Linked DNA regions of Oryzias latipes. The protein of the gene in region 2 binds, or shares a complex with, the protein of the main gene of each other region. Links are inferred from orthologs where the notes say so. Each region holds a gene or a part of one and is shown on either strand. Other genes may lie near its edges.

Region 1 (12,727 bases), on a different chromosome or scaffold from region 2:
ACCCTTTTTGGTTTCCATGAACTTGCCGTAGCTGTCAGAGAAGTCATCCTCCATCCTTTTCTCCGTTGACTCTCCATCTTCATCATCCTCATCGTCATTGAACCACATCTCTTCATCTTCATCCAGCGATCGCGCATCTCTGCGATATCTACAGGGGAAGAAAACAGATTTACCAAACAGTTTAGCTTCTATGTAACAGAAAAGTGAAAAAGAGAATTTTTTTATAAATTCTTGAAGATGCAGATCACATCAATAAAAGGACTGTATCTCAGACTGCTCACCTGTTGAGTCTCTGACTCTGTCTGTCTTTTTCCTGTTCGTAACGCCCTTTCAGGCCCTTAAAGGTCTGAACATACTCAATGGGTTCAAGTGCTTTGTAAAAGTTATCCACAATGTGAGCGATGAGTGATTTGATGTCCTCCTAAAAAAAGACATGTAGAAAATCTTAATTTTGTTGCAAACACAAACACATGTTGCAGTTGGAGCTTTTACGCACCACTTTAATGAACTCAAAGAGCTCAATGATGGCTGAGTTGAGGAGGTTGTATCGAGTGCCGTTGTCCAGCAGGGCATTTATGACAGGCTCAAACAGGTTCCCTTTGATGATGTAGCGGTTGTAGTACTCATCTTTCAAACCAATGATTCTGCGCATGAAACGCAGGGCACCTAAAACACAAAACAAATACATTATTGTGAAAAACATTACACTCGAAGAAAACAAGACTGGAAGCTTGGGCTGCAGGTCATTTGCTCCTGGATGGACTTACAAAGAGCAAGAAAGGTGTGCTTCGAGTTCATGAGCACCAGCACTCTCCTGAGCAGGTCTTTGTTCATGATGTAAGTCTTGATGTGGTAGGTGTGGTGTTCCACGCAAAAAGTGAGCAGCTCCAGGATCAGAGCCAACAGCTGAGCTGTCTGGAAGTTGTCTACAGAAACAAGAAAACGACTTATGTTTACTTACACAACAAACCAAGGCTTGAGGCAGTGCTTCACAATTAGTTTTTTGCAAGGAAGAAATAGGTAAAAAACATTATGCTGATTTTTTTCAAAATGATTATTTATGATATCATATAGTGCAGCTGTTTTCCTGCTGTCTTCATGTCAAATACTGACACCAACTAAACGACAGGCAGACAAAGAATACATTTATGGAAAATACAGAGACGTCATCAAAATGTCTACAATAGTTCTTAAAGAATGACATTATTAGCATGAGGTGAGTAATCTAAAGGCACGTGATGATCCTGGTGTTGCGCAATCTAGCGCTCCGCATGCGCTGTTCAACCTGCAGCCTGAGCGCACTACCCCTCCCCTTTCATTCTCACACACGCTGTCTGTGACAGCAGACAGGAGCAGCTGCAGGGACGGCAGTTCACAGGTTTCAGGCTGTTATAAACTCTGTCATATAACAGATAAGAGTAAATCAATAGTGGCGCAGATTTTATTCCAAGCACTGAGCCGCTGTCACTACAGCGCCCCGTTAAATTTGCGCCCCAGGCAATTGCCCGTATTACCTGTGCCTGAAACCGCTACCACTGCGCGGCCCCCCCTGGCATCGCCCCACTATTTGAGAAGCACTGGCTTAAGCGAACCTGTGTACTCTGAGTAGTAACGTTTCTAGAAACTGTGCTGTACACAGGCTGGAACATTTACTGCATTAACACCCACCTGGACAGACAGGGTTGATCTTTGTGGATCCGTCTTGCTGATCTGAAACATCAATATCTGCATAAATCAAACAAGACCTTTTCCCATACAGCAGAAGAAAAACAGCAAAGTCCCAAGTTTACCTTTCGTGGTCTTGTCATGTGCCGTGTTGGCCAGCAGAGGAGCAGTGAGCACATGCATGCAGTACTTGTAGAAGAAACTCAGAAACTCAGTCTTCTCTGTTTTCTATCAAAACATGAAAGGAGAAAAAGACATGAAAATTTAATCAAAACAACAATCAAGCTTTATTTTTTTCATCAAATGTATTTTTTTTTTTTACTTTAGGTCAACGATCAAGATTTCAGACCAACTATCAATAATCAGCTGGAGTTCACAACGAATCTATGAGGCTTTTAGGTTGAAAAGTAACAATTTGCTGTTAATTATTTAACATAAAAATGTTGAAATGAGCTACAAGCTCAAACCGACCAAACCAAAAGTGTTTTCAAGAATGAACATCAGAAAAAAATAATTACATTCATGTAAAATAGAGGAATCCTTTTTTCTGTGTAGTTGTGTGGAGCTTACATTGGTGGAAGCCAGCATGTTTTCAGGATCAATGAGAGTCCTGAGAAGGCCCATCAGCTGAACAGCTCCTCCTAACTCTGGGTCTGAGTCACAGATCATCTGCTTGATCACCACATTTATCAGCAGAACATCCTGACACACAAGCACAAAGGGAAAACAATGAGGAAAGAAAATCTGAAACGTATACTGTGATGTTTCTAAGAGTAAGTAAACAGAGTTTATAGTAATCAAAACGGCATATAGATGAACTTTCATAAGGATTATTGAAATGGGGTTTAAAAAAAAAGCAACAAACCCCTAATTGCTGATAACACTTCAGAAATATGGTTTCATATTATCCAACTTAAAACCCACTTGATTTATTTATTTTGTACAACAATATAAAAGTAAAAACAGCACAACACTTTCAAAAATCAGTACATTTATAAATCAATATCACTGTGGATACAGGTTAAACTCAAAGCAGAGCTTGCTTGTGACAGATGAATCCAAACTTACGTCATCCGTCTGCTGAGGCTCCTGCATGACAAACTCTCTGACCATGGAGGGGCTGAATTCCACCAGGTAAGAGAAGATGTCTGTAGCTGCTGCCCGTACTTGTAGGTCATTCATTCCCTGATAACAACAAATTGGAAAGTGATGATGCACGCATTCCTCTGAATCATCCAAAAGCCAGCATTTTAAACAAAAAACAGACATACCATTACTATTTCCAGAGCAGGTAAAATCCCCAAATTTGCCAAGGTTTTAAAAAAGGCATCCCTGTTTTGTGGTTGCAAAGTTTGGGAAAAAGCACAGAATTCCTTGACAAAGTTCACCTAAAAGTGAGAGGGAAAAAAGGACAAAAAGAAAAACGTAGTAAGTAAAAAAAACCAACATATTTAACCCTAATTTCCCTTGTTCTACAATGCTTTTTTCCAGCGGATGTCAATGATTACACCTGATCCAACAAAACAATTCAAATTCAACAAATGCTATACTATTGAATAAGGAAATGAACTAAGACAGTATTTACTCAAACTTCAAAATTAAAGACCAACCATTAATGCTTTCAAAAAAACAATAGTACAAATATTAAACATTTCCATTCGACTATAATGGAATGTAATCTTTGAAACCATGCCGTTTACAAATAGATTTTAAACAACAAATAAAGGGTTTAGTGAAGCATGTTGATGATTAACTTACCAACTCTCTCCTTTTACTGTCATCTGTGGCTTCATCTGTAAGCTGTGCAAAGACCTCTGTTAGGAACTTCTCATCCTCCTGTGGAAAACAGGGAAAACAGTTCAGGTATAAACAAACAGAATGACAGAAAAAAACAAAAACAAAGGAGAAGCTGGAAGGTTTAAATATTTAATTCTCTTTCACACTGTCGCCCACTGACTATGCCTTTTGTTTATTAAATAAAACTTTACAGAGAGTTGGCTCTATACACACAATTTCTAAAAAAATTGATACTAAAAAAAATGAGACGGTCATTTTTTCAATCCAAACACCATATGTTCTCATTAAAGTGTTCTAATGTATTTTTAACCAACTGCGGTTGTCTCTTTGCCAGGACTCCCTTGGTATTATGCCGGCTAAATCAAGTAAATAAATAAATAAAATGAAGTGTGAAAAAATTGAGCAATTTCAGATCAAAATTAAAAACCTGGAAGAGATCATGCAAGAGATTGGAAGAAACAGGAAATCAGTTGGAACTGATTACACCATGGAAACAATACAAACAGTGAAGAGTGCCGGAAGTTATTTTTAAAATATATATATAAAAGACAACTAAACTATTACTATCAGGTAACATTAAAAAAAAAGTTAAAAACAGAAGAAATCTGAGATATATGATGAAAATCTCAAATGATCATCTTAAACTTTTATGTGAAAATGTATTAAGACATTATTATGGAAACAATAGAGGGGGACACATTATGACAAAGCAGGTTGAAGCTTTGTAGAACAACTCATTCTCTTGGCACATTCTAAACGCTGTCATTTTTTTAAACAAATATCTTGACTTACAGTGAACTTTTCAAGAAAATAATGCAAAACACACTAGCACAAGTATTATCCTGTTCAGTTTCTCTCAATTATCTCCTATTTATGTAGAGAACACATTTTTAAAATCACAATTTCATTTTTTTGCCATAAATTTTTTTGTATTAGAAACTGGAGAGAGTACATTAACGTAGCGAACAACAGAAGATACAGACTGTCCAACAGTCAATGTGCAGAATGTTGATTACATCTTAAAAGAATCCCTTTTAATAGAAAACATTTTAATTTACATTGTTAAATACATTAAACTGAAACTTACACTCACTTTAGCCTGGTTTAGATCCTTACCTGCAACATACTGACAATCTCCACTTTGTTGAAGAAAATGAAGGACGTGAGGGTGGACAGGAAGTTCTCCTCAAACACTGAGGGTGTAGGCAGTATTATGTCCTGGATGTATTGAACTCTGTAGGTCTGGTGGATTTTCTGCCGCAGCTCAGAGTCCGTAATCGGGATCACTTCCTTAAATTTTGCGGTCTTGGTCAAGAACTCCCGATGTCTTTTAGGCTGAACCAATGCTGGGTCATACTCAAGGCAACCTACCACATCCATGATACAGTCATCCGAGAACATCACCTCAAAAAGGGCAGCTTTGTTGAGGAACAAGACTCCCCGCACAACCTCATAGAGGTGATGCAAGCCTTCTCTGTTGTCCAGGTCCTCGCATACTCTGAAGAGACCCAGCAGTTTCTTTATGTAGCCCTCACTCATTAGAGCCAGTGCAAGTTTTTCGCGCCGAATGGGTGAGGAGAGAACAGAGGTAACCAGGTCAGCGATTTCCTCAAGTCGACCTAGTTCACATGGCGGGAGCTCAACCAAGTGGCTTGTCTCTGGAATTTCCTCAAAGTGGTCCTCCTCTGATTCATCGATGGGATCCTGAGTGATGTCCAGAGCAGGGTCTTTGCCTTGTACCTGAGCAAAAATAATAAAATAAAAATCACATATTTAAAAAAAAAAATTTACAGTAAAGAATCATGAACTCCCTTACTTGGGATACTGGTAGTAAAAACTGCAAAACTCGCAGCATTCTTATACATTCTAAACGTATGTGATACTTGCAGGTATGAGCCACAGCTAAAAATAAACTTATTTTTTTTGCTAAAATACAATGTCAAACTTTAACGAGTTAAAAGACCAAAACCCTCAATCCCTTTATTTATAAAAAAATATATATGTTATTTAACATGTTTCAATCGTTATACAGTAACAGTTACAAAGTCCCACCTGACAGGAACGTTTTTCAAACATCAAAGAGAAGGGACACCAAGAAGGAGGGACATGCTGAACTGTCTTTATTTGTAATTACCTGACAGATCCTTTCCCAAATCTCATCACAGCCAGCCTTTTCCTGGAAGCTTAGAGCAAGATCGTAATTATCCGCTTCTGACCAAACAATCAGTGTGTCCTGAAAGAAAAGAATGAAACTTTTTCCTATTACCAAAAATACAAAAATAGCAACAACAACAATTGTCTTCAAACATATTTTACATTAAAACTTTAAATAAAGCTTAATTTAAACCCAGAATGTGTGCCTTAATCATTGTACTCATACAAAAATACAACCAACGACTTTGTTTTTAAATGACTGAACAGGTGTAGAAAAGTAAAAAAAGAAGATACTTCTGTGTACATAGTTGTAGATGTACCTCTTCTAAATGTTTTTAGGGGTAGAAAGATATATTTTTCTTATTGCTGCTCCCTTTCATTTCCCCTGCATAAGATGTCTAGTATTGTTTTAATGTATATGTTTTCTTGTGGTAATGAAATACCACAATTGTGTTATTCCTAAGGTTGAACAATTGTACTGATGATAAATATAACAGTATTTCACATTACAAAGTCTTCAAGTAAAAAAAGCTTAGTATACTAGCATAATTACACATCATCTATTCCCAACTTTCTTACAACAGAATAACCACAGAGGAGGAAAACTTTACTATTATGCAATAGCTTTTCAATTGTAAGACTCAATTAAACCAAGTATAAAACTCCTTAATTGTTGAAATATTAAATACTTACCTGTTGTTTCTGATATGCAGTATTCGGACTTATCTTTGATTCCAACAACAAAGATCCTAATAAAAAACAGAATTGCTTAATTTTCAGAGTGGTATGAAACTATTTACAAACCAATTAACTATTTGCCAACAATAGACGTATGAACCACAATGATGATTAGTTCAAAATAAGATCAGAATAACAGCTAAAATAAATACAGTAGTTTATGAACCAAATTAATACAGCCTGACGTAATAGTAGCAGAAATAGAGCAATATCCATGAATAGATTAAGTTTATTACAACGAGCAAGTGTAAACGTGTGCGCCGCGACTTTGAGGGGGGGCCCATGCTACTACGACCAACCAAACCAACTAGTCGTTGGAAATGAGGACTCTCCGGAAAAAGAAAAACAAACATTTGACTTCATGTTTTCAAAGTAAATATATACCAATTGGTCTAAAACAATTAATTTAGTGACACACAACGCTACACCAACTGCATAAATACATCCACCAAGTCAGAAATGCTATCAAACTAAGAGCTTTGCTATTTAAAATATAGCATGCTAGTTAGCTAATGCTAACAGAGAACTTACCGTCCGATTCGGCTCGAACTAGCAGTGATATTCCCCTCAGTCGTTCCACAAACGTAGATGAAACATGACCTGTACCCCGATCGTCCCACTGCCTGTCTTCATTTAGCGTGTATACCTTTACTCGCCGCCGAGTGTCCGACATGGCTAATCGAATCGGAGCTAGCAGGCTGCTAAGCTATCACCTCACCCCGTTTACTGCTTTCCTCGACCTGTTAACTTTGTTCCCACCTGCATGTTACAAAACATGCCAGTCTAGGTTGACGTTTACAGTAGTAGTCGAATATATCTCGCAAACATATCACGTTTGCGGTTATAAATCCAAATAGACAGTCTGATTTCAAACTGAGAAATTTAAAGAAACAACTCTGATGGCCTTCTTGCTAACGTCCACGGACCGCCATCTTGTAATCCGATCTTGTGCTCTTTTTCATCGCGGATGTCAATCATGCGCTAACTGCCGTGCGTGGGGCGGGGCTTATTCCTTCAGGCAACTGGGAATTCCGCAACTTAATGGCTGGGAAAGGAACTGCAGTACCTCATGCATTTTAAGTAAAAAAAATAATTTAGTTTTCGTCACATAAATATTTGAAACAATTACCAAATAATGCATAAAACAATACATTTCAATATTAGATTATAGAAAAAAAACGTTTTATTTATTTCCAAAATGATTAAGAAATGCCATGTATTTGTGTATTTACATAGACTATAAATAAAAAAAAACAAGTACATATGCTGTGAAGTTCTCCCACTTTGTTTTTGTTTCTATACCAGTATATTAGAGGACAATAGATATGAAATGTAAAAATCCTAAACAATAGCAAGTACTAGACTTTTGCAAACTTGTAATCATACCACCACATAAGGCACAAATATTTGTGGAAGTACAAGAAGCATTGTTGCTGATACATGACATAACAAGGACAAACCTAAAAAAAAACACAAAAAAAACAAAACACAATTCTGTTCTTGTCAGCCAGATGCCTCATTTGTCCAATAGTGCCATGTTTACGACATCTGTTGCATCTTTCTTGGGATTACTACTTCAAAAGTAATATTCCTTTCGAATTGTAGTTGGTGGATTAGTCAGGAAACTCTGCGCTGTGCCATTCTGTCACAAGTCGGATCTTTCGCTGATGTTTGAACCCATGGAAATGCTCTGTTTCTCACTTAGCGTCTTGACGACAGTGGCGGCAGGAGACTGCAACACCTTTCGTGAAAGCCTCATTCTGCCGTCTGTTGGATCTCGTCCAAAATACTTCACCTGTCAGGAGAACACTTGTTAGAAAAAAAGAAACCCCACAGTGGCAATAAAACAGGTCACTTTGAACAGCTGACACAAACCTGTATCTCCTGTCCTACATCCAAACCCAAAGCACTTGGATGCTTGATCTACAAGAGATACATTTTCGTCATTTTATTTGATTGATTATTTTCAATTTACTTGTGCATTGTTTTTATCTTCTTTTTTGTTTACATGATTGTACACCACTTCAGATCAGAACAGATCATTTAAGTGCTCTATAAAAGAAAATTGGATGGTGTGGTTTAACAAAAACAGATTAAAAAAGTCCACCAAAGTGCGTTTTACAAACCCGTTTGTGGTCCAGCTGGGAGTTGTGCAGCAAGACAGGCGTCATGTTTGGATATAGTTTAACCATCACACCAATGTCCCTAAAACAGAGAGGTATGTCCATCAGTGGCTGGATCAGGGCTCGCTTTCAGCCCTCAAAAGTAAATAAGGTTACCTTATTTCTGTGATGGTGGCAGTGTAGACGGCACCAAACTCCAACTGCTGCTCCTGCTGCAAATGGGAAGCAACATTAATGCTCGAGCTTTAGGTACATATAGGCAAGGTTCAGTGATAGTCTGGAATATCAAACTGATAATTAATGAATAAACCAGATGCATTCTGGATTTTGTTGTTGGCTCACATCGTCTTTGCAGATATCGCTAATGAACTCCTGGGCTTCATTCATAGCTCCAGGAGTTGGAGCAAACACAGAGAACGTTTCTTCATCCACCTGACTTATAGTGACACCTTTAGAGGAAACAAAAAGACTAAATTAAACACTTCTGCACATCCAAATGTAATCAGTGCTCGATTACCAGAATACCTGTCTGAGCTTGCAGTTTGCGTAGGTTATATCCTCCTGGGCCGACAAAGCGCGCTCTTCGAGATGCAGGCACCCGCACATTTTCTACCAGAACCCAGCGCTCATTAAACCACAACATTTCCAAAGAGATGTGTAGATCCCTTTACAATATTTACCAACGACTGGTCCGTTCTCTTTCCTGCTCTCTCTTGGTTTTGCAATGCATTTGTTCATGATTCCAAGGATTTCCCTTTTGGCCACTGAAAAACAAAAGGATTTTTTTTAAAAAGCTAACAAATACTAATACTGAAGTAATACTAGATTTCTGTACCCGTTGCTTGCTGGATTGCCTCCATAACCACCTTCAAAGGTAAACCTGGAATCTTCACATCAGCCTAAATGTCAAACAAAAGAAAAAAATAATCACTTTAGTACAAGAGAGGGAATCAAAAACTTTACACACTTTGCTTTATTTTACTGTTTTTTTTTTACATTTGATCCTCATGTGTGTTGAAAAGATGGTCAAAAAACCACATTGCCCCGAATACATGTTGTTTAAAGTTGCTAGGTTTTTCTGTTGAGTCATCAAACATAATACCTGTAAAGCAGTGATCCCCTTGCTTGTTCCTGCCATTTTAAAGTCCATGTCTCCAAGGTAATCCTCTATTCCCTGTTAAGAAAACAGCAATCCACTCACAAATGTTCAATGAAAAACGACAATAACCAAGTTATTTACAGAAACCAAACAGTCTGTCGTAGGTTAAACTGAGATGGTTTGTACCAGAATATCCGTCAGTATTCTGTAGTCCTCAATCTCAGCAGATTTCTGTGGGTTTGCTTTGGAAATAAGGCCGATGGCCACACCTGCCACAGCGGAAGAGATGGGAACACCTGGAAAAAACAACATTTATAACGTTCTTCTTTTAAAAAGAATTTTGTGCCAGAAAAATATTTCAATTGCAACAATCCACACTTGCATATAAATCTAAATTACATGTCGTACCTTTTATTGTGTTCATGTGTGTAAATGTGTGTTTACATGAGTCAATGGGACTGTGGCTGTAAAGAGGTTTGGGCCTTTAATAAAGAAAGTAAAGCGCTATAGGAGTACATACCATTTACATTGCAGAACAGGAAATAAAAATCATTTAACAGAACAAATTAATATTCTCAAGATTCATGTGTGCTTCAATACACCTGGTAAGAGAGTTTTAGCACATTCTTTTAGTCTGGCTTTGGTACCTGCATCCATAAGGGCAAGGCTTCCTCCACAGGCTGAGGCCATTGATGATGAACCTAAAAGGCAAACACAGTTATTAAACAATGGAAAACAGCCTTAAAAAGAACACTACAACAGGAGCAACAGAGCTTCCACACCTCCTTTTAACTTTTTATATTTCTGAAATAATGTCTTAAAAACTGACCATTTGACTCCAACACCTCAGATGTGACTCGGATAGTGAAAGGGAAGTCTTTGGGAATGACTGGTCTCAGCGCCTTCTCAGCCAGAGCTCCTACAAACACAAGCCACGCCCCCAGTGAGAGCTGCTAAAAAAGGAACCAAATACGAGACCGGAACATCCCAACCAACCGTGTCCAAGCTCTCTCCTGTTCAGGCCTCCCATTTTGCCGATCTCATTAGTTGCATACGGAGGAAACTGAACATAAAAAGAACACATTAAATTGACACCAAATTAAAGATTATAAATCCACGAATTATGTATTTGATTGAAAAAAAAATCAAAATCCACTTACTTCATAATGAAGCATGAAGTTTTTGTCTTTGACACCACTTCAGAAAGAAAAGAGTGGGCATTTTAGGGATGCAGATTTGTTCAAAATTTACTACAAAATAACCTCAACAAGGCATTCAGATATGATCAGGAACAGGATTATTCATTTTCTCTTTAATAATACAACTTCTGGGTGAAAATGGGAGTTACATATTATTAATAAGTTTTCAGACAAAATAATTGATTCAGTTTTCTAAATAAAGATTTTTTTTCTGTAACGGTTTATACTCTCGTACATGTGAATGTGGTAAAGGGAGATAATGCCAGCCCTATTCAAAAAACAATTCTAATGCTCTGATGAGTGTTTAGAGCCTCACAACATAAAGTCAAATTTGAAAAAATGTTTTCTTTTTATCCTTAAGTTCAGGTGTAACTGTTTCCTGGAAGTATGTATGATTAATAAACAGATATTGGATTAATTCGATGTAGAGAACAAAGATATATAATAATAATAATAATAAAAAAAAACAGAAGTATTTTGCTTTTTAACTTCTAAAAGATGAAAACTAACTTGTGTTGTCAGACAATCTTTAATGACCCATAACGCCATTTAGGATAGTAAATTATATAAAATATGATCATCATTAAACAGTGGAATACAAAAGTGAAAGTATTGCAAAGTAATTTTTTGCTCATACTAACTTTTACTAACTAATTTTTTACTCATACTAATTCAAATGTTGTTCAACTGTTACTTTCATCATAAATCATATTATCAGAATTAGATATTAAATATATTGGTTGACCTTTTTCACTCACAAAGTTATGCAAGTCTGTCTTGATCTTTAAATTGAACAATGAACACAAAGCTTAAAGTTTTAAAAGCATTTCAGTTTCTTCCACTCCTAATGTTTTCACCAATCCGTTCTACAGAAACAGATCATATTGCTTCTATCATTTTACGCTGCATTGTAGCCAGAAAAGTTAATCATTTAATTTATTATACAAAGCAACCACCTTACCTCAAAGCTGTTGTGATAATATCTGTTTTGATGCTGGACTCCAGGGAGTCAAAGGTGACGCTGCACAACACCTACAGGGAACAGAAGAACACCAGGCTCACATCTACCCTGCTAAAAATACTACAAGAACATTTTTACAGCAGGAAGTCGAATATTCATCCATACAACTTAAGCATTTATATGTTCTATCTCTTATATTCAAACCGTCTCCCCTTTTAACTTGGATTGGCTTAAAGCTCTTTACATACCTGTGTTTGTCCTCTCTGAAACAGAGCTGAGCCATGCAGAGGCCTAAACAGATCAACCTCACACGAGATGGTTCTTAAAGCGGTCAGTTCCCTCCCGTCACATCTTTAACACAAAGACGAAATCCACACACCTGTTTTAGTTTTTCCAGATCTGTGCACCATGACATTAACTTTGTAAAAGCAGAGCAGATCCCGCTCACCTCCTGTACTCATTCAGCACCAAATTACGGAAGATTTCTTTGCTCACGATGTTAAAAGATTCAATGACGTCAAAGGGCTCCGCCTGAGGAAACGCATCTACACACAGAAGGATAAAAATATTTTGACTAAACCTTTACAGCTACAAAATGCAAATTAAATGTCTGCATACCTTTGAGATCTTCTTCAGTTTCCAATCGTATTTTGTTTATGGCTTCATCTCTTGAAATCTGCGTTAAGGATGTTATTTATTCAGACAAAATGTAAGATTTTAACATAATGATTATTTCTAGAAGATATAACTTGAAAATTAGGATTTTTTTCGCTACCTTATCATGACTATAATCAGTGAAAACAGCATAGATCTTTTCAGAGGCTAACCTGGTGGGAAAAAAAAGACAAAAAAAATGAAGTGTTAAACTGGAAAATTCAAGATTCATTGTTCTTATTAGTATATATATTAATTTCTTTTACCATTTTTACTTATTGTTCTATTTTTATGCTTTTTATTGTTATTTATTTTCTGCATGTTTGCATTGGGGTCT
Region 2 (12,093 bases):
CCATGTATGCTGACGGCTTTAATGATATTAAAGCTTTGTGGAACATTGTCTGCCTCTGCATTTTACTGTCTGATGAAGATTGGAACCAGAAAGTCAATGTGGAGTAACCATGCATCACAGTGACCTCACCAATCAGCTGCTGGTTTGATTTCTCAGGAGTTGGTTGCCTGCTTTAGATGTCCTCAAAAATTAAGATCTTTCTCTGACATGCATGACTTCACGAGTATTTATTCAAATAGACTTCATTCCTGACACAGTTGGTCAGACCTGACCACTCTGCTGTCTTATTTTGGAAAAATATGGAGCTCTTTTTTCACATGTGTACAATAAGATTATTGTAAGGATTTGTTATGGTAGAAAAAAAAACACATGGCGGTTTATGATGCAGCAGCAACACTGCAGTCAACAGTCGGTGAGGGGATGAACAGCAGGAAAACACTAAAGTCTTCTGTTGATGCGTTAGATTTTGGGTAATTTTCTTTAGCTTCTGTCTGATGTAGTTGTGGAGCAATGGTGACCCCCGTCCTCTTTAGTCCTGTCCTGACTGGACGCTGAAGGAGCCTGACTTCCTGTTTAGGAGGAAACAAAAGTGGTTATATTGTATAGACAAACACAGAAACTGCAAGTGTGTAGAGCTAAAGAAAGGATCAGACCAACGCAGAAACAAGTCGGTTCTGCAGCAAACATTACAGCTAAACTACAGACCCTTTATCTAAGAGCTGGTTCTACATTTGAGCCATAGCCTGATATCGTTCTGCCCCCCCCCCAATCTAAAATCCTGATTCTGAAATGGCTAAGAACAGAATCAAGAGTTTCCATGGAGAAAAAAAAAAACGGGTAACAGCTTTTTGTTATACTTTATTCACCAGTGAGCATCCAGGGCTCGGGCACTGAGACGATGGACAGCTTCGAGTACCAGCCCCCCAGTGGACAGTGTGGGAGCTAGCAGGCTCCAATGCCAGGGTCAGAGCTAGTGTGCCTCACCGCCCAGGCTGTCAGGCCCTGGGCAGCCGAGCCCGCTATACTGGCAGACGGAGAGCCACCATGGGTGCTGTCATAGTGGGCACCATCACTCCAGCTCCATGGGCTTATGATGTTTATCTTATTTTCATTGAGAAAATAATAAAAAGATCCCCCAGTTTTCTTTTCTTTTCCCCTCTTTGGTAATACCCCCTGGGCCACAGACAGACGGACGTAACGTTTAAACGGCTGTAACCCAGGTGCAGCTTTCACTGCAGGAGTGAAGTACACTGGGAGAGACTAAATGATCTGGTGAACCCAGACACGGCGACAAGCTCTCCATAACATATAAACCCAAGCTACTCGCTTAACGTCATCCATGTTTCCAAGATGTGGAGATGAATAAAGTCCATAAAAACGTTGGTTGCTCTGTGACCGGGGCGTCAAGGTGTCAGACAGTAAATTTGATCAAAAGAGAGGCAGCAGACGTGGATTTGACCCGGTGTGAATGCAGCATTAGAAGTAGCGGTACCACAGGTCCTGCATTCCAACCGCTGTTAGACCGTACAACTCAACAGTCCAACTACAGATACATTAACCTTTTTTCTATGATAAACATTCAATGCACTTCTGCTTTGTCTTGTCTGAAGAACACCTAGGGCCTGAATGTTAGTTCTATCAAAGAAGACCCACAACAGAGCCTGTTTAGACACAGGGAACTCCTCCAAGTTCAGTCTCTGCCTGAGTGTCTTTCTTCCTCTTTAGACTGACATGTTCATCTGCATAACGACATAACGCCATCTCTGCTTCTAGCTGGTGGAAGAACACTGTTGAGTGGATTGAGCTAAGGACTAAAGCAGAACATTCTGGATTAAAATAGGGTATGCACTGTCCCAAATTAAGTTGATGTCCAACCACGACAGACAAGGTTTGTGTAAAAGAAACATCAGAACATCAAGGTCTAACCATCACAAGGATGCTCGTTCAACAGGAAATAAAACTCTTCTTTGGATTTGTGAAAGATACAGGATAAACAAAGCAGTTTCAGAATTGGTCTGGACTTACAGTTTTCTAGACCGACTGTCCTTCACCCCGCTGCTACGCTCCATTGTTTTACTGCTCTGCTCCAAAGTGCTACTTCTGTGCCCTCTGTGGTCCAAAGTACTGGTTCTGTGGTCTTTGGAATAAAAACCACTATTGCTGTGCTCCATCACACTTTTCATGGAGTCCACGCTGGTAGTTCTGTCCAAGATACTGGGTCTGTCCAGTACACTTGATAGGCTTGTGTCATTTCGTACCAGAATCGGCATAAAGGAGGTGGTCTGGGTTGTCATGGTGAAGTGACTTGTTCTCAGGGAGGCATCTGCAAAACACATGAAGTGATGTACTGTATATGTCAGAAAAACATGCAAGGTCCTGAGTGCACACTGTTACCTTTGCTAACCAACACAGAGGACTTCCCAAGTCGAAACGAACCACTTAGGTCTTTGACCTTCCTGAAAAAAAGGTTACATTATAAGAATATTTGTCAAAGATTTAAAGGCAGAAACAAAACCAATCTGTGGCGTGTCTCTACGTGAGTGCATCTTACAGTGGTCTGTCAGAATTCACAGGTTTGCTTGATGACGGCTGACTGCTGAGGGAACGACTGCGAGACAATTTTGGCTTCCTCCTCTCTTTACCTGGAAGACGGAAGGCCTCATCATCCAAATCATCAATCATCTTTATTTAGATTTTCAGCACCACCATTATTACCATCCATAGTCCAGTGAGACAAAGTTAGTTAGTTCAGCAGTGAGACAAAAGAAAGTCAACAAGCAATAAAATCAACCAGTTTACCTGTTAGGATGAAACAAAAGTACAGTGATCCCTTGATTATCGCGGGGGTTACGTTCCAAATAGAACCCGTGATAAGCAAAACCCGTGAAGTAGAAACCTTTATTTTTTTACAATTATTATACAATGAAATTCACTATTATACATTGAAAAGAAAGAACAAACCATTTAACAGGCTAAATCAATTGTTTTTTTAACAATTTAACTTTAGAAACGTTTTTCAACAAATAACTTCTGTAGTGTGCTGTCAAATAATAATTTCAATCATCGATAAGAACAGAAGGCTTTAAATTGCAGAGATTAGCCCCGCCCACCGCGACCCGAGAGTAATTGGATTAAACGGGAGAAAATTTAAAATGATTATGAAAAAAATAAAAAAGTACAGTGGGACAGATAGTGACTCCGGTCTACTTTTTCACTGCTCTTCATACTGAGCCGCTGCATCCTCTGCAGCGTTTTTTCCTTCTGAAGCCCGCGGTGCAGCTGCAGGTGTGTTTGTTCGGGAGAGGAACATAGTGATAGGCAGTTGTTGTCGCTCTTTTTTCTTCTTTGCTAAAGACCCTCTTACACCGACATGCCCCCATCGATTATGTTGGAGAACTGTAATGAACGGCTCATCAAAGGGTCCCATTCTTGAGCTACTCGCTGAGTGACTTTTTAGCCAATCAGAATGCAGAACACAATGCACAATCCAAATCCGTGAAGTAGCAAAACCGTGAAAAGTAAACCGTGATATAGCAAGGGATCACTGTATTAGTAACTTTAACAATGAGAGACAAGGAAAGTGACTAACACAAAACTCCTGGATCTATCTTCAAGACATTCTTGACAGATCTTCATCTGCTGGGAGAACCAACCTTTCCTGGTTTAATAGGTAAATATATCTGAGTATCAGCAGCAAAGAAAATGTATGCTGTGCTACTGAATAATGTTACCCAAGGGAGCATGTTGAACTAATTAGGAGTGAACCAAGCACAGAGCCTTGTGGTGCACCATGACTGATTGCTGGGTGAGAAAGACTCATCGGTTACACAATTACCCTGCAATCTATCAGATAAAAGGTTTGACATAAAAAAGGACATAATAGAACAGCTTAAAGCTGTTCCTGTGATACCAATGATATATTCCAGTCTCTGCAAAAAAATGTTCTGATTAATGATGTCAAATGCAGCACTGAGGTCTAAAAGAACAAGAACAGGTCCAGTGTCTACACCATGAGGAGATCATTGTTCCCTCTAGCAGAACCATTTCTATGCTGTGATGAGCTCCAAATCCTCACTCAAAAATCCTCCTTAATCCTAAAAAATAATTTTGATCAGGTGCTTAAGGAGTTGATCTGCAACAGTTTTTTTTCAAGCACCTTAGATGATTTTTCAAATAATGAGATATTTTCTGATTTTTAGCTAACGCTGTAATTACTGTAACCTTTATATCCACAGGAACATACTCTATTTTTAAGACACATTATTCAGATCAATTTTCTAGAAACATGGATTACAGGAAAATTCTCAGTTGACAATAAGAGGAAATCAGATCCAAGAAAGGAAAGGAAGATTTGCAGCTGTATGTTACTTGTGCTAGTGTAGAGGGCTCAAGAGGACAAAGGTGTATTTAAGAAATAATGGTTATTGCTATCATCTTTATCATCAACTTACCAGAGGGTGGTGCTGCTACTGGGGAGGAGATGGACACAGACTTAGTGAAAGTCAGGCTGGTCTTGCTGTCTCTTCCTGTTGGAGGAAAAGGTTAACCAAAGCTTTGGTCCAAAAATCTTTTGAGAGGATGAAGGTTCAGCTCACGCTTTCTCTCTGTGTGCCTGTCAGAGGTCACTTTACCATCGCTGTCCTGTTCCAACTGTTCCTGACAACACATAACACAACAAACAGCAGTATGACATTAAAACCAGTTGGACCAAGTTGGCCAGTTCCAAGCTGGAGTCACGTTCTGGCTTTTGACTCACCATTTCCAGCTGGACAGTCTCTTCTTTCTTTTTCTTCAGGTCCAGCAGGTCCCTCTCCTGCCTCTTGTGAAACTGCACATACCCAGAAGATGGAGTTTGGAACAAATGTTTGCCTAATGCATTTGCAGAACACATGCTTTGCAGCTTACAGGTTCTGACAGGTCCAGTTTGTTCAGTTCCAGCACAGTCTGAAAATGATATTAGATATAGTTACACACAGAATCTTGAACACCATCACAGCCCATCCTCAATCCGGACAGTTCTTTGGTGAGGTTTACCTTCGGGATTGTGGCCACCACATCTTTGTCTTTTTCCCTGCATAAAAGTTTCTGAACACAAAAGTCCAATTTCTGCAGCAGAAGTTTGTCTGCTGGCAGGCAGAGACATAAGCGCAACCTGGGCAGCAGCTGGCAGAGCTTGTATCTAAGAAACAGGTGAGCAGGACAAGCTATTGAGTGGGATGTGGTGACCTTAATATTTGTCAAATTTCAGCTTGTGGCTTAGTAGAAATGCATTGAAGTACCTCACATTGGCAATGGGGTCATGGGCAAGCTCCAGCGCTGGAATCAGGAAATATTTACTGAAGTATTTTTTTGAGAAAATCTCTGTGGCAATTTCACAGACGTCAAGGAACCTAAGACGGTTCCAATAGCTTCGACCCAAAGCCAAATCTACAATCAGAGAAAGTCCTCTTTGTCTTGTCCTGACACATTTGTTTTCATCTTCACTAAAGCTGGAAAAAGCAGAAGATACTCTGACCTTGGATCAAACGTTCCATCATCTCCTGACGTTGTTCCTGCTTGCGGTTGTAACGCATGATTGTGCAAAGAGTTCGTGCAGCCTCCTTCTGCACTGGAAGGACTTTCTGCAGCCATGGAAAGCAGAGCAGAGTTAGTTACCCCCTTCAGCTGTAGCTACTGTAGAGCATGGATTACGGGGCTGCTAACGTTGGTGATGAGGAGGCTGAAGATGCGGTGGGAAAAGCTCTGATGCAGCAGCTCCCCAGAAAGCAGCCTTGCCAAGCAGCTGTATTGCTGGAGCAACTTCTCATGAAGCCGCCAACGCAGGGAACTTCCAACTTTTTTTTCAGCTAACAGCAGCACCGACAGCAGCTCTGGCAGCTGAGTCCCGCAAGAGAACAGAGAGAGGGAAGTAGACATCAGGTTCAGGCAGCCATGATCTGATCAGAAAGGGACTGAGCTTCTTTGTGTCACCACATCTTTACCATTGGGGAGTCTTCTCCCAACAGAAGCAGCTCAAGAGTTTCCTCAAGGTGGTTCATCAGAGCGTCCAGCACCTAAACAGCAAAGCAGGCATGTAAAGAACAGCTTCAGGTATGTCTTTTCACAGATCCTGTTTCACGAATCTGCAGGTTCTCCTACATACATTTAGACATGCTACATGGAACACATTAAAAACCTCTCAGAGCTCCCTTTCTTCAGAACCCAGTTTCACACGTACAGTACGTGCAAGAAGCTTTTCGAAAGGTTTAATGACAAGATTGTAGCAGATTCCAAAACACAGATAACAGCTCTAGCAGAGACAATGAGAACGGTAACACTAGAAACCTGTTACACTCTAACAAGTCATCTCCTTGTGTGTCATCCACACGCTGCCTCCATTCTGTCCACACTACATCAGTCAAATCTGACTGTTCAAGCCAAGGAGGAAAACTGTTCATCTGAGCTCAGTATGTGACGGCTGAGGGACACTCTTCAAGTCTTGTTTCATAATGATTTTATCAATAATAATGAAATATCTTTGAAACAAGACTGGAACGAATAACTTTACTTTGGTAGGGTAAAGAGCAAATCAGCAGTCCAAGATGCTGCCCCAGAACAGACTTTCTGTTACACACCGGCAAAAACAGGTCCGTTTCTGAGTTTCCTTCCGTATTTTATTCAGTTCTAGAAAATGAGAAAATTCAAGCTTCCTTTACTCCATTTCTTGAAGTACGGTGGATTTCTGTCCTCCAGAGGGCGCAGCACTACATCAAATGAAAAGCCTGCAGCTCCTGCTGTGCGTGAGCGTCTCACCTCCAGGGAGTCGTCCTGCAGCAGCAGCAGAAACTCTTTGTGCACCAGGTGGCTGTTTGGGCTGATCAGCTTCAGCACCTGACAGGAAGAGGTGTAACCATCATGTAAACCAGATCAGAATGGCAGGAGTGACAAAGACAGGTTGCCTGGGGCAAATAGGTTGCAGCATTTTGTTCTCATTCCATCTTCACATATTTCTAATTTTCATAGATTATTTCTTTCACCAAACATTTACCATCCTGCCTTTGTTTGTGTTTTGCTTTAAACTGTCATTGTATAACTAAACTTACAGGTCTTAAAAGAAAACAATTTTAGATGTAATGCATTGCTTTAGTGTGTTGTGCAACAAGTGAAATATTTCGTTTTGGAACCTTGGTAGAAAAGCTGGACCAAAAGACTTGAGGAAACTGTAGAACTGGCAAAACCGCCTTTGGCTGCCAGTTGTTCCCTAAAAGAGATTCACCAAGATTTTCCCCCCGGCACCCATTTCCTGGGAAAATCTGACTGTTCAGAAAGCACTTGGAACCAGATAATTGAAACCCAGCATGCCATGCTAGTGGTCAGACCAGTTCATTTCAAGTTCCTGAATACATGTTACAGGAAAAAAGTACTTCAGTTACCTGTTCCTATCAGCTGGAGATTGATATTTCAGAAATTTGGTTGGAGAAATGTTACCACATTTGTCCTTAATAATAACTTTTGTTGCTTTGGATTACGGCTTCAGTTGAATATGTAGCCCTGATCAAGACGTTTCAGATAAACACAGGCCTGTATCCAATCTCACCTTCTCTCATAGCACAGAAAAGGTTCTGCTGAAGGGAACAAAGATCTCCTCATGGCTGCAGACATTGAACTTGTGTCTGTTCTTGATCTTTTAGACCTCAGTGCTGCATTTGACACTATTGATTAGAAACTTTTATTAGAGGGTGGAACATGTCTTTGGCACTGCAGGAACAGCTTTAAGCTACTTGAAGTCCTTTTATTTGATAGATTGTTGTGCGTTCATGTAAATGATGTGTCTTCTTTACAAAGCTCAGTCACAGTGTACCACAAGGCTCTGTGCTGGATTCATTCCTCATTAGCTCAAATTTGCTTCCATTAAGCCTTAATCACAGCTGCCCTCACAGGTGGATGTGGGCTGCCTACTGGAAGAAATGGGCAAACGTGTACGGGGCACACAGGCGGCCTGCACACAATGTCACAGTTGTAAAACGCTCACTGAAAATGTTCATGTACATTTTTTCTATGGACATGCTGTCATGGTGAACACTACAGCACACGAGTAAGGGTGGATCAGGTAAGATGGAGCCGCGTTTAACATGTTTTTCTTTAAGACATAAAACACAACCGGACAGCCCACAGGAAGGCTCCCCAGACCCCAAACCCCCAGAGGGACCGTCCACAGGAAACCACAGGGACACGGTCAAATGCCTTCTCCAAATCCACAAAACACATATGGACTGGACGAGCGAACTTCCACCAACCAAATAGAGAGACTGACTCACATTTCAACGACCAGGACTTAAACCGCAGTGTTGTTCCTAAATCTGAGGGGCAACTATTGGCCGATCTCTCCTCTTCAACATTCTGAAATAGACTTTTCTGAGGAGGCTGGAGAGTGTGCTTTCCCAATAGCTCTACTGTATTTTGGGTGAAGGTACGATTCCATCACAACAGAAAGTTGCACAAACATATGTGGCTGTTGTAGGTGATCAAGGAGGGTCAGATTCCTTGAAAATGCTTTATTGGCAAAAAGTTTGCTCTGGAAATGAAACATTGTGCTTCATAGATGAAATACGCTAACCGGTCCTGTGTTAAACATTTACCCGACCCTCCTGTTCTCAGGTCCAGTGTAATCTGGGTAAAACGATGACCTAAGTGACTTGCTGTCCTGTGTAAATATGCATAAAAATGTATCTTTTCAATAGACAGAATGAGATCAAAGGTGGGTTTCAGGGCTCAAGGAAGCATGGGAATATTATGAAAATTAGAGGTTGAACTAAATATGTTTATTTGAGATGCTTCAATTTGATCTACAATAATGTTTACTGTAACAATAAGGACAATAAGCATTCAGGATGAGCCAAGTTTGTACTTGTAAGGGAAGAAGGTCCCTGTGTAGATGTGTAAATCAACACTAACTGCATTCAAAAGGTTACATATATTAGTTAATCATGAGTTTCATTTGTTTTTTGTTAAATGAAGCCATTTTTGGAAATGAAAAGTTTCATGTCTGCCTCATTCACAATCAGCCCACTTTGTTCTGGGAGAGGTAAACCCTGCACGAACGCTTCCTACATACCTCCTGACTGTTGGGGTGAGGGGTTATGGTCTGACCTGATGAAAACTGGCAGCGGCGCTTCGCCTGACGCTGACCTCAGGGTCAGTGCAGAGACTAGAGAAGGAGGAGTAGAGCTTGGAAAGGAAGTGAGCAGAGTCCGCAAACGCCACCATGGCCTATATAAAAAGAAGACACAAAATAAGACTCTGCTGTGCTTTAGGGCCTGAAGGTGAAAAGAAGCTGCTTCCAAATGACAAAAGTTAGGAGTTGTCTCTTTCTATTTAGAAGTCTAAAAGTATATTTTTGTATCTTATAGGATTTTTAAGAATAAGGCAACCTGCTTAACTATTGGAACACTTTGATGTTTTCTGACAAAACAGTCTGCCATTTAGTTGACCAAAGAAAAGAACAATAAACAGATAGGAGGGTAGAAGGATTGATGTGTGGATGGATTGTCTTTAGGTTGGTGTTGCTTCATGTCATGTTAGAATTTCAGGTCTGTCAGAGTCACCCCAAGGTCAGGTTTTTGATTACCCACAGCTGTCTTCATTTAATCAAAATTTGATCTATTAGAAAAGCATTTGCAGTGGTCTTTTAATTACTTTTTTAGCCCAAATCAACAGACCTGTGTCTTTTTCTAGGACATCAGGAGTTTATCAGAAATTCAACTCTGGTGGGACCATTGGTGGGAAGTAAGCCTATCTTCATTTCCCATTGTAAAGGAGGTATTGGTGATTTCATCTCAACCTTGTGACCTCAAGGATTGTACACTTTGAAAAATGATAAGACGTCAATCCGATCCACCCACACGCCACTTACTTATCAAAGGAATTGTTCATGTGCTTCATATAATTCATGGTTTCTATTAAACAAAGCCAAACAAGACAAGAGATTAGAATAATAACAAAACAGAATCAATGTTGTTAAATATAAACATACATGTAAAATATGAAAGACAGCTGTTCTTTCATTTAAATGTCAAAATTAAAAGATCCCCAACACCATCATGTGTCCCGGAGAACGTGACAATGCATCTTTGTCAGGGCCGTGCATCCCCAAACCACAAGGATTTGATCAAATAAACATGGACCTGAACATAAGTGTAATCATATCAAACCCACTTCCTCTCAGTTTTAAACATTTCCGGAAGACATTAATTTAAGTAAACTCAAGAATGTGAACAAAATAGAGTACACATCCCTAAAACAGCTGAATAAACATCCTAAAAGAGACAACACTGACATCTTTATACATGGACGCATGCAGACTAACAAAGAAAATAGGGAAGAACATTGAATCCACAAGAGCAATGATGCGAGGGTCCCGGCAGAGAGCTGCCTGTTATCTCAGATAAGCAGGGGGAGACATGGATGATGTGGCGTTAAAGGTGCTCAGGAACAATCAAACTAAAACTACAACTTAAACGGATACAGAGCAAATGCACGCATGAACCTTGTGATCACTTATCATTTCTTTGTCTACACTCCCTCCCACTGGCTTACAGCCCCTCATAACCCCAACCTAACATTAGTGGTGAAACAAAAATGGTGGGCAATATCGGATAATGCTCGCCATTTTTGGACAATTGGACAATATTTCAAAATAATTTAAAGACAAATAGAGCGCTCTCTGCTCTCCCTGGCCTCCTTCCAAAGAAGCTGCTGATTAGTTTATTTATTTATTTTTTTTACTTGTCCTGTCCAACAGCTGGTCAGGCAGATGAGAACTGAGGGCCTCTTGTGTTGGACATATTTTACTTTAACAACAGGGGTTATTAATCTTCAGACAAACCAGAGGTATGTCTGAATAAACCCCTTTTGTAATCAAGGCCAGACTTTATTAATTTCAGTCATGTTTGAAAATCTTTGGTGTTGGACCGGACGGAAAAGGAAAGAAGGGAAAAAGAGAGAGGGATGTTAGAGAGAGGGGGGGGGGGGTTAGGAGGGTGATAATAGGTGGGGGGGGAGGATAAGACCATGAAGCAGCATAAAGCAACAGGTTTACTGGTTGTTTATCATTACGGTAAGGTACAAATCTCAAAGGGCGGGGCCTGTCCACACACACACTCAAATGTTATCAACACACCTGCTAGCTGCAAAAATGTCCACTTGTCAACATGTACACAAAACAGATAGTGTTCACACACGCATACCCATGCCTTTAAACCAACTAGTGTGAAATATTTCATTCATTCAATCACGCAAACTATTACTGCAAATGTGAGCTAACACCTGTGCTCAGGTGAGTGTTCATGTTCTTCTAAAATGGATGATGGAATGTGAAAAGAAGGAGGGAGAGTGCCCAGCCACCCTCACACCAAGACCCCCGCCGCAGCGGCAGCTGTAACCCCCCAACGCCACACGGCAGCAGGCAGAGAACAACCGCCCCCCGGCAATCACATCCGCCACCCAGGCAAGGGCCAGCAATACCGCCACGAGGCCCCCAGAGCCAGAGAGCAGGGAGGCATGGGGGGAAAGAGAGCGCCGCCCCAGCCCAACCAGGAGAGCAGCCCCCCCGCCGCACCGGGAGGGCCCAACGCTGGGCCCCACCCGAGAAGGGCGCCCACAGCCCCAGACGAGCACCCCATCACCACCCAAGAGTTCTGGGCATCCCCCTGCCCCAACCCCAGGTACGAGCCAGGACCCCCCAAGGGAGACCCGCTCCACACTCCAGGCAGCCACCCACCCGGCCCACGGTTGGTCCAGGAAGGAGCAAAGCAGGGGCCAGCAGCCCCCGCCCAGGAGGGGAGCACCCCGCGGAAAAGGGGGGCCCACGAGGGGTGTTGTAAACATGGCTCGACAGTTGGAAATTTGGCGGGGCCCAGCGCTCAGGGGCAAGGACCAGAACCCACCCCACAGGTGTAATGTGAACCCTCTTCCCGCGCGGAGAGAGCACCGCCGGGCCCAGGAAACCGGCACCCAGGGGCCACGGCCACCGTTGCCAAGGGCCCAGTACCCCCCACCAGGGAAGGGCTAGGCGACAAATGGTCCTATGTCCCACCTTCCTTGCAATATGTGTGT

Evidence for each region.
Region 1: ppp4r4 (region 2) and ppp4r3b share a complex: the UniProt entries of both Homo sapiens proteins name them as parts of the PP4 complex. The link is inferred for Oryzias latipes from reciprocal best matches to the Homo sapiens genes PPP4R4 and PPP4R3B.

The regions. Positions count from the first base shown.
Region 1 is NC_019873.2:15,885,525-15,898,251, reverse strand, and holds the start of ppp4r3b (serine/threonine-protein phosphatase 4 regulatory subunit 3B), read right to left. Parts: upstream 7,328-12,727; 5' UTR 7,028-7,327; coding exon 6,886-7,027; intron 6,366-6,885; coding exon 6,310-6,365; intron 5,696-6,309; coding exon 5,597-5,695; intron 5,203-5,596; coding exon 4,579-5,202; intron 3,502-4,578; coding exon 3,424-3,501; intron 3,054-3,423; coding exon 2,937-3,053; intron 2,851-2,936; coding exon 2,734-2,850; intron 2,368-2,733; coding exon 2,236-2,367; intron 1,894-2,235; coding exon 1,791-1,893; intron 1,726-1,790; coding exon 1,669-1,725; intron 927-1,668; coding exon 768-926; intron 667-767; coding exon 497-666; intron 422-496; coding exon 282-421; intron 149-281; coding exon 3-148; intron 1-2. Other genes in the region: pnpt1 (polyribonucleotide nucleotidyltransferase 1, mitochondrial), read right to left, coding at 8,000-8,149, 8,230-8,277, 8,481-8,559, 8,634-8,689, 8,820-8,926, 9,003-9,086, 9,158-9,241, 9,313-9,376 and 11 more. UniProt on the Homo sapiens protein: Regulatory subunit of serine/threonine-protein phosphatase 4 (PP4). May regulate the activity of PPP4C at centrosomal microtubule organizing centers.
Region 2 is NC_019882.2:23,159,907-23,171,999, forward strand, and holds the end of ppp4r4 (serine/threonine-protein phosphatase 4 regulatory subunit 4), read right to left. Parts: intron 9,250-12,093; coding exon 9,130-9,249; intron 6,871-9,129; coding exon 6,793-6,870; intron 6,054-6,792; coding exon 5,982-6,053; intron 5,878-5,981; coding exon 5,704-5,877; intron 5,622-5,703; coding exon 5,516-5,621; intron 5,428-5,515; coding exon 5,280-5,427; intron 5,180-5,279; coding exon 5,035-5,179; intron 4,945-5,034; coding exon 4,906-4,944; intron 4,829-4,905; coding exon 4,757-4,828; intron 4,657-4,756; coding exon 4,596-4,656; intron 4,527-4,595; coding exon 4,452-4,526; intron 2,643-4,451; coding exon 2,552-2,642; intron 2,457-2,551; coding exon 2,395-2,456; intron 2,324-2,394; coding exon 2,026-2,323; intron 570-2,025; coding exon 530-569; 3' UTR 6-529; downstream 1-5. UniProt on the Homo sapiens protein: Putative regulatory subunit of serine/threonine-protein phosphatase 4.